Drosophila melanogaster: one gene and its partner. The protein of the gene in region 2 interacts with the protein of the main gene of each other region in a biochemical or structural test. Each region holds a gene or a part of one and is shown on either strand. Other genes may lie near its edges.

What was found.
Region 1: the proteins of dpr18 (region 2) and DIP-zeta form a complex in vitro, tested with the Drosophila melanogaster proteins (one study listed by BioGRID).

What each region holds. Positions count from the first base shown.
Region 1 is NT_033779.5:9,067,897-9,072,818, forward strand, and holds the start of DIP-zeta (Dpr-interacting protein zeta), read right to left. Parts: upstream 3,269-4,922; 5' UTR 2,936-3,268; intron 1-2,935.
Region 2 is NC_004354.4:16,061,800-16,069,949, reverse strand, and holds the start of dpr18 (defective proboscis extension response 18), read right to left. Parts: upstream 6,213-8,150; 5' UTR 6,132-6,212; intron 6,070-6,131; 5' UTR 5,841-6,069; intron 4,549-5,840; 5' UTR 4,399-4,548; coding exon 4,251-4,398; intron 3,584-4,250; coding exon 3,143-3,583; intron 2,327-3,142; coding exon 2,151-2,326; intron 1,236-2,150; coding exon 1,022-1,235; intron 960-1,021; coding exon 635-959; intron 578-634; coding exon 453-577; intron 387-452; coding exon 256-386; 3' UTR 1-255. Other genes in the region: CG12395 (uncharacterized protein), read left to right, coding at 7,176-7,940.

The DNA of each region.
Region 1 (4,922 bases), on a different chromosome or scaffold from region 2:
AATATTTTCATTGGACATGTCGATATGTGTCTGATATTGTAGTTTAAATTCATAGGTCTTTGAAATATAGTTGTGTCACGCGCAGTCCTCTACTCTGGTTGCTGTTTCTTGGCCATCTCATTCAAAACTTTCTCTTAAAAATTGTATTTTTTATGGCTTTTGAGCGTGTCGCCTTCAGCTATTTAGGGGGTCCACACGCAGCTTGCGAAACACTTACACAGAGACAAAACTTTTTCCCTTATGACTCGCTTATGAAATTAAGCAATTTTGACTCCACCTCTTCCCCCAAAAACCACGCACACATGATAAAGCTTTTTTGGTATGGACCGAAACAGATTTACCATCAGAAACAAGAACAAGAAGTCCAACAAATTTTATGCACTTTTTTATGAGTTTGGCAAAGTGTTTGTAATTAAATTAATAAATTGTTGAGGGAGAAACTTGTTCCGAATGTGTTTTTCTTGTATTTTTATGCTAGGAAATTAAATTTTAATGGGGCTATTTAGTGTTTGTTTGGTTTTTGCTGTTTTTATAATGATAACTTTTTGGTAAAACAAATTGGCTTATAATTGTTGCGGGATTAAAGGGACTTAACTAAACGGGTGCGTAGATGAAAGAGACAATAACATTTATTTGTTTATGCTGACTAAGTTCATAGCCATTATAATATTTTTTATTGGGTGTTTAAATTTTCTTTTTAAAAGATTCTGTGTAAACGTAAATTAATCCTGACATAGTCATTAGCCCAAAAAAAATGTTCCTAGCTCTCAGGGGATTTCTCCTAAGCTTCTATAAATGCCTGACAGCTTTTAACCTTCATGGTTTTGTGGTAATTGAAGGGAGAAAAGAAAGCAGCACAAAGGAGGCCGAAATTGAATTAAGATATGTTTACCTATGGCCGAATTTATTTACATTAAAAGGTTCTTCAAAGAAGAAGCAAGCTAGAAAGGTTGTGCCTGTTACCTATCACTTATATTTTGGCAGCAAACAATACAAATACATGAAAATAAAATTCCGATTTAATTTGGTTTTATTTAAGGACTTACATCTCTCCCTTATCGAAAATTCGTTAGTTCACGTTACTATTTATTCGGATAATACAAGCTTAACTAGACTCAATTTAACTCTGATTTTATCTGGATAAAGTACTCTATTATATTTTCAGAAGTGCAATATAGAAACTAAATTTACCAAATAAACGCACCAATAAATATGCACTTATGATCAAAGCTCACACATATTTTCGACATCATCATCAGCAGCATCAAAGTTTTGCTATTTTGTTTGTTTTACTCTACACAATTTGTAAAGTTCCTGTAACTGCAAACGTCAAACCGAACTCGAGCAAACAAAACGCAACAAAGCTGAACTCAAAAAAGAATTCAAAAAAGATGGAAATAAATAAAGAACCAATAAGCCCTCTCTTCACTAGCTTTTGAAAAAAGTTCTGAAACAGCTGACATCCATGAGTTTCCCATCCTTCTTCTGCTCTGTGTGTTTACGTGTCTTACTCAAACTGTATCAGCTCCATATTGCCATTGATCTGCAATGATGCCTGAATGCAAAACATACCATTGTACAGTGGATACCCAACAAAATGAATCATTTCACATATGTTATAAATATGAAATAATTTAAATCTTAATTATATATTAAATGGAATTAAAATATTTGGACCATAAGAACCGATATATTGATATTAGTGGTGGATCCATTCTAAGTCTTGGTATATTGAATAAATTATGTAAAGTATTTTTACAACAATTTCTATTAGTTTCCAATGTTGTATACTGTAATTAAATATTTCTCTTTAATATTTTTTTTTTTTAATAAATTGTAACAAAATGCTAAGAAACGTTTACAATGAGCTTTGACAATATTCATACTCAAAGACTTATTCTGCATTTGGAATACAGTTGTGTCCAGTAACACATAGGCCCCACTGTACTCTCTGCGTTGTCTGTCTCTATCTCCTACTCCATTAAGTATGCAAGTTTTCAGCAGTTGGCAGTCGGGTCCTGGCCCTTTTCCCTGCATATCCTGATTCTCATGGATGCAGTGGGTTAATGTATTTTTAAGCTAAATTCTTTGTTTATATTTGCCTTGCTGTTTTCGGTTGTGTTTGTGTGTTGTGCATTGCGTTGCAGTGGCAACAACTGCTGTCCTTTATCAATCGCAACAAATTTCCCCTTCGACTATTTTTTTTGCGAGTTGTCCCAAAGTGAACTCTAGTGGATTCATTTATTCGCATATAAGTTTGTTTGGGAATTTTTCACAGATTGAAGAATGGCGTTGTGTGCGTGTCTGCCAGTTTTCGGGATTTAAGGACTTCGAGGGTCCTGGAGATAGTCTCGCTGTTTGTTTACTTTTTGTTGGCATGAAATGTGCATTAGCAGAGTTAACTGTTAATTGTTTACCCATTTCGAGGGCCTGACAAGTGACATGTGAGTTTGTGGTCTGGATTGTAGCTGTGGTTAACCATTAAATGGAGTTCAGTTATTTGAAATACTCGCACTAAGATAAATCGAAGTCTTTAATTGCATTTGAATGATCTGCAGTCCCAAACATAAACCTTTTACATTATATATTGTAATTAAGATTTTATACATAAATATAATATATAGCGTAACGAAACAAACGCATTAAACCAACTCCTTATTGCATTTTCAATTTTTAACATAGCTTATAATTACTTATCCTAACCGGCACTCGCACTTTTAAAAATTGTTGGAACTTTCGATTTAATATACTTCTGTCACTGATATTTATAAATAATATCTAAAGTTTGTTAAATTTAAAATTCCATATTTTTATAAAGTTTCTATTCTATTCTATGAATTATTAATAAAAAAGACTTTTCCGATGATCAAATTGTTCTTCTGTTTAAGACCTTAATAGTATGAATTGCATGTATTGAAATAATTAATTTACATACTGTAACTACAAGAATATTTTTGTGAATATTTAATTCTGTAGGTTAGTTTTGTGTTACGTATGATATACCAAGTTTTCAACCACTTTTACAAATTGTAATCTTTCAATAAAACGCTTACAAGTTTTGGTATTTTTTTAAATTTTATAATCAAGTGGACCTAAGTTTTTTAGCTCGACTTTTAAGTCATTTCTCAACACGATCACATTGAGTCAGGTGCTTCTAATTTGGCATCGATCACATGACACTTGAGTACGACTTTCCCTTTGCCGGGGATCTTTCAGTGTAACACCGATAAAACGCGTCCGCTTCGTGCAGAATCCGTAGCGAAACTGATTTGCCGACGAAACCTAATGCTCGCACAGAGCCGGGCTCTGGCTTTCCACCAACAACAATAAGGGAAAATCTAACGAATGGGAAGTGCTGTTACGTATACGCCGCGTTGGCCGAGTGATAACAGGCGGGGACGAGCCGACGGCCGACAGAGCGAGCCGAAGTGTAGCTTCGGTTTAAGCCAACCAAAGGACGCTGGATGCTGTTCATTGGTAGTTGTTGCTGCCGGTTGCTGGTTATGTCCGGTATCCTTGTTATGTTCGGAGGCTTGTTGTTTGCGTGCAACCGCAACCACAACAACAGACCGCAAAACACGCGACAAAAATGTTAACAGAGTCCAACCTGCAACACCATGCCCCAAAATCACCTCTCAAAGTTCGAGTTGCATGCCGATTCCGCCGTCGAACCTTTTTGGCTCGTTCCGGCTGAAGCTGTACCCTTTTAATAATAATTGAATTAAGATAAAATGAAAACAAAATCAAAACACATTTTTGCTTTCCGTTGGTTGCTGCATATTGCTATTTGGAGCCAAGTATTTAATTAGACAAGTTAATTAAATTTATTTGCATTTCATTTCAAGTCCATGTGCGTATGTTGAGCGAAAAAAGTGCAATTAATTTGAGATATTCAATTTGCAAGCGTTGCTTATTCGATTTTCGCTGATGCAGGACCATCTAATTGAGGGTGATAATTGCGTTTTATGACTGACTGAGCTAGCAAAGCTGGTTGTCAGTTGGTAGACGGTTAATTAAGAAGTTCTTTTCAAAGTTAACAGTGGTATTTTTGAATGGTTAGACAGATAATATTTTTAGTTACTTATTTTTTGAAGTATTTCATGATGATTTTATCCTATTAAATTAGGTGCACGAAAAAAGTTTTGCTATTTTTTAACTAGACCTTGTTTTAAGGGCACTGTAATCATCTCGACAAGCACTGGTCAGTTGTGCAGAAGGAAAAAAAAACGATGCATATCCGTCTGAAAGTTAGTCTATATATAGACGGATTGTATGCGATATGAGAGTGATGAATTCTCCCTGTTGGCCATACTGAACTATCTTAATGAACTCTTTCAAATCACAGACATCGCTCAATGCCAAAAACATTAAAACTGACAAGGCTAGACGGCAGACAAGATGACTGCTCTGTGACCCTCTCCCTGGGATTCCTCTACACACCACACACCCAAGGAGAAACGTGCACCATCGCTTGGCAAGTTCATTGTGGGGGGAATCCCAGAGGTGATAGGGCGGCGAGTGGGCGTGGTCGACTGTTGCGCCAGGATGTGACCAAAACAGGAAGAGTGGGTGGAGCGGGTGGATTAGGTGATGGCGAATGAGGAGGCGGAGGCGGAAAGGCCACAAAGGTCGTTGCAACACATTCGCTTCGTTGGGTCAAAAGTCAAGCGTTGGACGGGGGATCCCTTTGGATGCCAGCCATTACAACACTTTGTTGGCTGCTTTGTAAAGTTTTTCTCACCATGGAAAAAGTTTTTTTCTCTCTTTCCCAGTCTTTTTGTATTTTTCACGCCTTGTCCGAAAGTTTCCTGTTTTTCCCCTCTACTTGTTTTGCTATTTTTTCCCGCTGCCGCCTTAACAATGAAATTTTTGACTGCTGATTGTTTGCTGTTCAATGTTATTCTTCCAGTTCAATGCGAGTT
Region 2 (8,150 bases):
ATGTCATCTTTTTGCCTAATTAATTCAATTCTAAACAAATTTTTAAGAATATTTGTCCAAACAAATTTAAAGTCTTATACACCGTAGGCACTATAACAAAAATATGTAATGAAATCACCTTCTGATTCTCAACTTTAAAACTAAAACCGTTGTTTAGAACCAGCCAATCTCGTTTATACCTAATATTATTGGTTAATTGTTTGTGAAAATCGAATGGCTATGGGGTTTTCCGCAGTCCCTTCTCAGATTAAAGCCTCAGAAATGTCGATTTTCGGTTTTCAGGCAAGTGAAGAGGAAAATGAGTACAAGGAGATGACCCAACATCGCAAGGGAATAGATTTCGGTTCTTGAACCAATATTGTGCTGAACAGCTGCGGGTAGTTCGCCTGTAAAGATATATATAACATATCAGGGAAATGATTTTCACGAAACTTCAATCACTAATTAATTACCTGTGAGCACTTGAACTTGGACAATTACGGTGAACAGTCTGCCAAGGGAACAGGAATAGTTGCCACTATCGGATAGTTTGGCATCTCCAATGGAGATACGACTGGTTAGCCAAACATCGGAAACGCTGCAATACACAGGACACAGTATATAGGAATTCCGACTTGCATCGTTTGTAATCTACCTTAAGCGCCTATTGGTCATTCCTTGCAGTGGTTCTTCGTCCTTTGCCCAGGTTATAAACTTGGTGAAGTATTTCTCCAGATCCTGGCCAGAGAACTTGTGTTGCGTCTGATTTACGTTGCCAATTAGATTAAGCTCACTAGTCGTCTCATTGATTAGTTTCTGTACAGCATCGTTTGCAGAATCGGTTGATTTTAGAATGGTCTGACGTTCTTTTTGGAAAAAGCTACGCGATATTTGGCATTGTAGATCGACGGTGCTTCCAGACTTATAATAACGATCCCCCACGTCCCTCTCGTGCTCATCGATTATCCTCAGGGGGGGTTCTGAAAGCGGAAAACTTGCCATGTAGGATTCGTTATAAGGTTAGAATTGGTGGTATCCATACCCAAGACAGTGAGATTTGTGGTGAATACCCGGGGGGGATGGGTGGAAACCTGGCACATGTAAACTCCGGCATCTTCAGTCTGCGTGGGATTGATAAGTAATCGCCAATTGTTCGGGTACTGGAACTTCACCCGAATTCTCGGGTCTCCACTGTAGGTCACGTTGCCAACGGTCAGGAGCGATACCTTCTCTGCCGTTCGCCTGACCCACATGACCTGGAAGTTGGAAATTCAAAATCTTATTTAAAGTAACCGCAAGATTGGGCATATATGTACATATGTATGTTCGTACATATGATAAGTAAAAGAAAATAGTCGAAACGGTAAAACACGTTACACATTTATCTCTCTCAAAGCGCTCTCTCACGACTATCGGTTTAACAAAAACAAACGGGAGGATCGAATTATGAGAATAGCTGAAAAGAAAATAGGCTCTCTCATCGGCTTCTTCTTATTCTCTCTCATTTCATTGTCATATTTTGCGAGCATCGGTAAAGAAAATGGCTGCCGCGAAACAATTAAATTAAATCAGTTTTTGTACATTTCGTTGCTCCTAAAAGTGCCAACAATTAGGTAAAATGATAATAAGTGAGTACTTGCAGGCCTGTGTAATGAGTATGTAATAAATATAATATTTATGGTTAAATGGGCAAATTTTTGTGCGTTTATTGGTTTACCGATATTGCACACACACACATCCGTAAAAAAGTACTCATACACAAATGAGTTTCAATGCAATGGTGGTGGCGGTGGGTGTTTTTTGTTGCCATATGCATACATACATACATTGTATGTTTGATGTAAACATATTAAGAAAGGCAATCAAATTGAATAGTAACTAAATTATATTTATTCAAAAAAGGGGTTTAATGGCTTAAAAACTTGCTTTTTGTTTTGTCTTATAAAGTAAAACAGTAAATAAAGTAAATAAAATCCGTGAACACATAGGTAGTGAGAGCTAATTTATTTCCAATTATTTCGGTTGTTTCATCATTTGTGAAATCAATTAACTGTGCAGAACAATAGATATTTATTTACGTGCATGTATGCATGTATATGTATGTATGGGTATGTACGTACGAAGGTATGTACATATGAATCTGCGTACATATCAAAATGGCGTTCACTTACAGTTTTATCCTTGAGCATACCGACACGGCAATTGAGCACCGCTTCCGTAAACAAATGTACGGCGGAAACGAGGTTGTCACCCGAGGTTGCCGAGTTGATGGGCTCCTCAAAAAAGGGTCCCCAGTGGTGCTCGTGGTGGTGCTTGCTACGTGGTCGTTCTGTGACACGTGCGAATCCTGCCAAGATTTAAAAAAGTTTCCGAAAAATTAAATCGAAATTAAGAATATACATATATACTACATACATACATATGTATGTATGCACGTAGTACACGTAGGGGTTGCCGCATTCATTTTGAAGAATGTCATATATACATATGTATGTATTTATGTACATCCGTTCGTTTTCTTTGAAGATGCCTCATTTTATATTTTAAACCACCTTTTTCCAACGGTAACAATCATTATTTATAATCACCAATTTAAAAATATTTATCTTTTAATTTCCTCGTTTTTTAAGGTAAAAAATCCAAAAAATTACGCATTTTTAAAAATTTAAAATTAAATTAGAAGTTATGACATTCCATATTATTATTATTATTTTCAATGTTTTGATCAGAAAAAGTGTAGCGAAAATCTGGAAAATACTTTATGCAAGAATTCGATATTTCCGTGATTTATTTTAATCCGTATTCGGCTTAAATTTATTATACAGCTAATGAAACAACTGTGTTATGCAGGTTTTTAGCCATGCCAAAACATAATACTGTTTGCCGGATTTAGAAAAAAATTTCGGAAAATTTATCAAAATTACCAAAAAAAAGTCAAAAAATTTAATTTTTAAACTTGAATGCCAGTCGATTTGAAATTTCATAACGAGTCTGACGTGTTATGGCAATCCATGTTTAGACATTTATTAATTTTGTTTCGATCAAATGGCTGTTGCCAAAAATGCAATATTTACGATGAAAACTTTGCTAAAAACTTTCATACACGTACTTTTGTACAATTGCTATATGCTGTTCTGCATAATACCAAAGCTATCCCACTTACCACTTGCTGTCCAATGATTCCTCGTGCGTGTGGAATCAATTGGCTGTTTCATGGTACTTCTGTCGACTTTTAGGGATGCGAATGCTGTGGTGGGCATGGTCACAGTCGTCAGCTGATCAGTTGTCCCTACATTTTTGATTGGAAGGCTATTGCTGCTAAACTCCATGCTGCCCGGTGTCTCCATGGGTATTTTACCCCGACTCATTTTCGTGGGAATGGGGCTGTGCGGAGCGTTAGACGCCTCGATTGGCATTTGGGAATGGTCCTCGTCCTGATCCTGCGATGAAAACGCGTAAAGGGTTGCCCTTGTGGCTGACAGGTAATCAGCAGTTGATAATGTCGATTTAGTTTTATTATAGTCATCAAAAAGTAATGAACGATTCTCGCCGTTTCTGGATTGTTCACTTGCGGAGGGGGATTTTGTTTCGACGGATGTCGTGTCTGAATTGAAAAGGTGAAGAATGCAAGAAAAAATATATTTAAACAAGAGCTCAGCTCCTCAGAAATATCTAACCATTTTTAAATTACCCCATTGGCTTTATTCAAATATGCTATATTCATGGGCTTAGGACTAATTACAACCTTGGTTACGTTGTTAAATAGGTAAAAATATAGTAGGGTTGGTAGAAATAAAGGTCCTAACTATATACTGAATAATATTAAATTCGTACTCTGTAGTTATAGACGTAAATCTGTAGTATTATTTTTAAGCCACAACTTTTTACAAAGTTTTATTCGTTGGATGCCCAAGACTTTATGGTATAGTTTCTTATTTTCTTTTTTCCATTTAACTTAACACACATATTTTCAATATTTGCTTCCCATGACAAAATATTTCAGATTTTACTAGCCGCAAATGAATGAAAAGTGTATTATATACCCAGTTTTCTACCAAATTGTCCGAATTAGAAAGTTTGATGTTTAAATATCCGTTGTAAGTTTCTAAGAAAACCCGGTCCATTAAGAATAATTGAACTTCCCCTAACTGATGCTACCTTGATAAGTAAAGAGCACAAAACATGGGAAAAGGAGTCATAACAAAGGCTTCGGGGTTATTTAAATGCTGTTTTGCAAACAAAGTTAAGGGAAACTTAAGGGCTACACTTACATAGAACTTGAACTTGCGATCCAATCACCAGAGCAATTGTGAGCAGCCGAAGAAGGCTCAGACTGGTTTGTGAATTGTAGGAGAGTGGTAGCGTCTGGGCAGCGTTCGATGCTGGTGATAGTGTCCTATATCCTTTCGGAAGCCTCATCCTTTGCACGGGGCGACGTGACTTACGGAATGTGCTCGAGAGAAATCAGTAACCTTCATCTTAGTTCCGAGAAAACTCAGCTGCTTTCTGGCACTGAATCTTGTCGATGGCTCAGCGTATATTTCCCTCTTTTCTTTACCATTTAAATTACTGCAAGAGAACGTAGTAAAGTATTCAAGGAAAATCATTTGCTCAAGAGTTTCTACCCACAAGGATGCTGATGCATATCAAGAATAAGTGAATTAATTGCAGGGAAAATGATTTCTTTGTTCTTACTCTTACAACTATTATAATAAATGCAAACAAATTACTTTGAACTTTGGTTTGTCTGCAGTGTTTTATGTTAGTCATTTAAAAGTTTGGGAAAAAGTGACCTAATGCTTGAGCTTCGGGACACAACACTTGATACATTTATATGTACAAAAATCTGCTCTCACATTTTTATGTCACTACTATTTTTTTATTTCTTTTCTTGTGTTGGTTTTGCCAAGTGGCCGATGGATAACAAAAAAGCACTTATGTATAAGCCCAATAAACTAACCAAAACATCTTAAAGCCTGATACTCTATGTTCATTTTTATTAAAGCGCAGTAAAAATTGAAGATATTGTGAATCTGTGTGACCCAGTTTAATGGGGCAGGCTATAGATTTTGCTTAGAAGGTTATGAGGGGGACGTTAAAGGCTCTCGAACAATGGTTTGATCAGCGCATCTCTAGGCCCATGGGACTGAACTATTCAAATAATGGAGGAGGACTGACTATTAATTCTTGGCTCAAGGCATGCAAAACAAAACAAATACAATAACGAAAAAATGCGCCGTGCGACACGACCCGGTTTTAGTATGAAGTATGAATAATTTTTAAAATTTTTAAGCTTTTTAAAATTGCTGGCCATGAAAAGCGCATATGTGTTTGGCTTGTGGAATTTGGAATTTAAAATAACGTAAAACAAAATATTATTGTGAAACAAAAACGAACTTAAAGGTGTTGAAAAATGAATTTGTTTTGCGGTGGATATTATATTTTGTCAATTATAAAAAAACGATTCAATATATTTGGTAGCAGACCAGTGAGTAGCGTGGAATTTGCTTTTTGGGACACTTGCCAGCGGCATTTTTTCTTATTTCGTTTTGAGTTCGTCTCCTCTACCATAATCTAAGCTTCCTGTCTATACACCCATCGAAAATGATATATCTGTGGCAGCAAGATTAATATTTTTTTTTTTGCCCATGGCGGATTCATTCATTTATAAAAAGCTAACGAAACGTAATAGTCTCATTTTTCGAATACTAGTTGGAACTTCACAAATTTATATTAAATTAAATTATTTATATTATTTGATTAACTTTTTACTGGAATTTTTGATTAAGCTCAGCAGTTAATTGGTCCCTTAAATATTCATGCAGTTTGACAGCCGTTTTTTCTATCCCTATTTCACTTACCATGTGCAGCGATGTGTTGTGTTGTCTACCATTCAAGATACCTGATTGGAATTGCGGCGATTAGTAAATCCCTTGCTCTGTTGGCACAAGTCACATTTGTACAAAAAAAATACACTGGCACATTGAGTTAGCAACAACAACAACAAAAAAAATGCACAAAAAAATATTACTTTATCCAGGCATACAGAAGTTTATACTTGATTTTATTATTAACACATTTGTGTACACACTGAAAAAAAGATAATTTACTCAAACTATGTTATAAAGACGGTAGGAAATACGCAGATGTACTTTGGTGCGTTATATTCACATGCGCTCTATCCGGCGAGCACGTAGGTATCGCTTATCCTTGAAAACCGTAATGAACTGTCGTTGGCAAAAACTTTGGACTCCATTCCAAGCGTTCAAATGAAAAGCCGAACACAAATGAGCGAAAGCTTGTCTGCACACTCGAATCCAGTGAGTGAGTCACTCAAAGGGGATTTCTGTTGAGTCCATACGGATACTCAACACTGCTCGGGACATCTCCCCTAGTTGGGGAAAGAAAGGTCTGTCCCAAAGCTTTCACCAGGGATTTTATTGAAGTTGGGAAATTCATGAGCTGGTAGCGAAAGTTGGTTCCTAAGTGAATGAATCGATTTTTCAGTAGTTAATTATTTTAAATACCAATCAACAAAGGTTTTTTTTATCTTAATTTCTTTTTATTTGATATGAATATAATTAACATGGTAGAATTTTTTAACTATAAGCTATACAAGTAAATCGCATTTAAATCGTAATATACTTTACATAAACTTTTCTACATTACATTTTACAGTGCTTACAAATAGCAAACTTGTGTTCTTGAACGCGATTTGCTGTTATACATTAATTGTATTAGTATAACATCGGTAAGTAGTATAACAGATAACTGATGATCTAAATTATAAGATACAATAATACGTGTATACTGAAAAGTATTATACTCCAGTGCAGTGTAGGCCAAAAAGTAGGGATTGAATCTACGGTGTTGTCGGCAAACAAATCATACAGAAACTTATAAATACGAAAGCATAGAAGACTTTGAATGGGAATTTTCCAAGACTCAAAATAAGAATAAAAGGGGTATTAATAATGCCCCAATATAATAGCTTTTACCGTACTATCCCATATTTAAGATTCCTACCCAAAGGATGCTTTGGATTTGCACTCACTGTAGTTGAATCTTTTAGCCGATTCAGACTCAAACTCAGACACATCGGATATTTTAATATGTGTATACCCACACAACAATAAAGCCGAGACCATATTTACAAATTGATTTTGCTATTGCATATCATATCATTATCACCAAGGATGCATATCGTGAGTGGCAAGAATCTGAGCCGCGAAGAGTTAGAGGAAGTTAACAAATGGATGCAACAAAATAGTATTAGCACTCAAAGATTGCGTCGCGAGTTTTCCGATGTTTTGCCGCTGGCCGAAATATTCAAACGCGATTATCCGCGCTTGGTGGATCTCTTCAATTATCCGAAGAAGAGTAGTGTTCAGCTGAAGTTGGCCAATTGGGAGACATTCAACTTTAAAGTGTTATCCAAGTTAAATATGACGTTGACTAAAGATTTTATGGAGCAAATGGCGAATGGTGTTAGTGGTGCCGCCGAAGTCATGTTGCATGAAGTGATACGATTGGAGAAACGACAACGCCTTGCAGAACAACGAAATGCGGCATTGCGGCAGGAACAACTTTGGGAGGAAAATGATGAGATAAAAACTGTTGTGGTTAACAAACAGATCGGCGATGGCATAGTTCAGGTGCCGCAGAAAATGATCCTATATTCGCTGTACGAGAAAGTGGAACGTGATAGTCATGCAAAAGATGTTATTATCGATGCCTATCAACAGCGATTGACCCACATGGAGAGTATTATTAAATTGAAAACGGAACGGATCGACGAACTTCTAATGCAGATGGGTAAACAACCTCAAAAGAGAGCTACTAGCAACGCAACCAATTGTTTCTTTGCTTACGATGGAAAGAACTCCCTAATTCAGAAGCATATAAGTCCTACGCAAGCATCATCGCCTACCCATCTGGATGCGGACGGCTTTAACATCTAATGGCAATCTCGGAATTAGTATTAAAAAGTTAATTATTGTTAGATTGTGAATCTAAATTACCGATTATCGGTTAAATAGATTACGATATAGACACAGTCTTGGCAATTCAATGGCAATATATTCATATAATTGGTAATTGGCAATCGATAAGCGTAGTTAATAGTTGAAATGTCTTAAATGGTCATTGAAATGAAAGATCAAGGGTCGTAT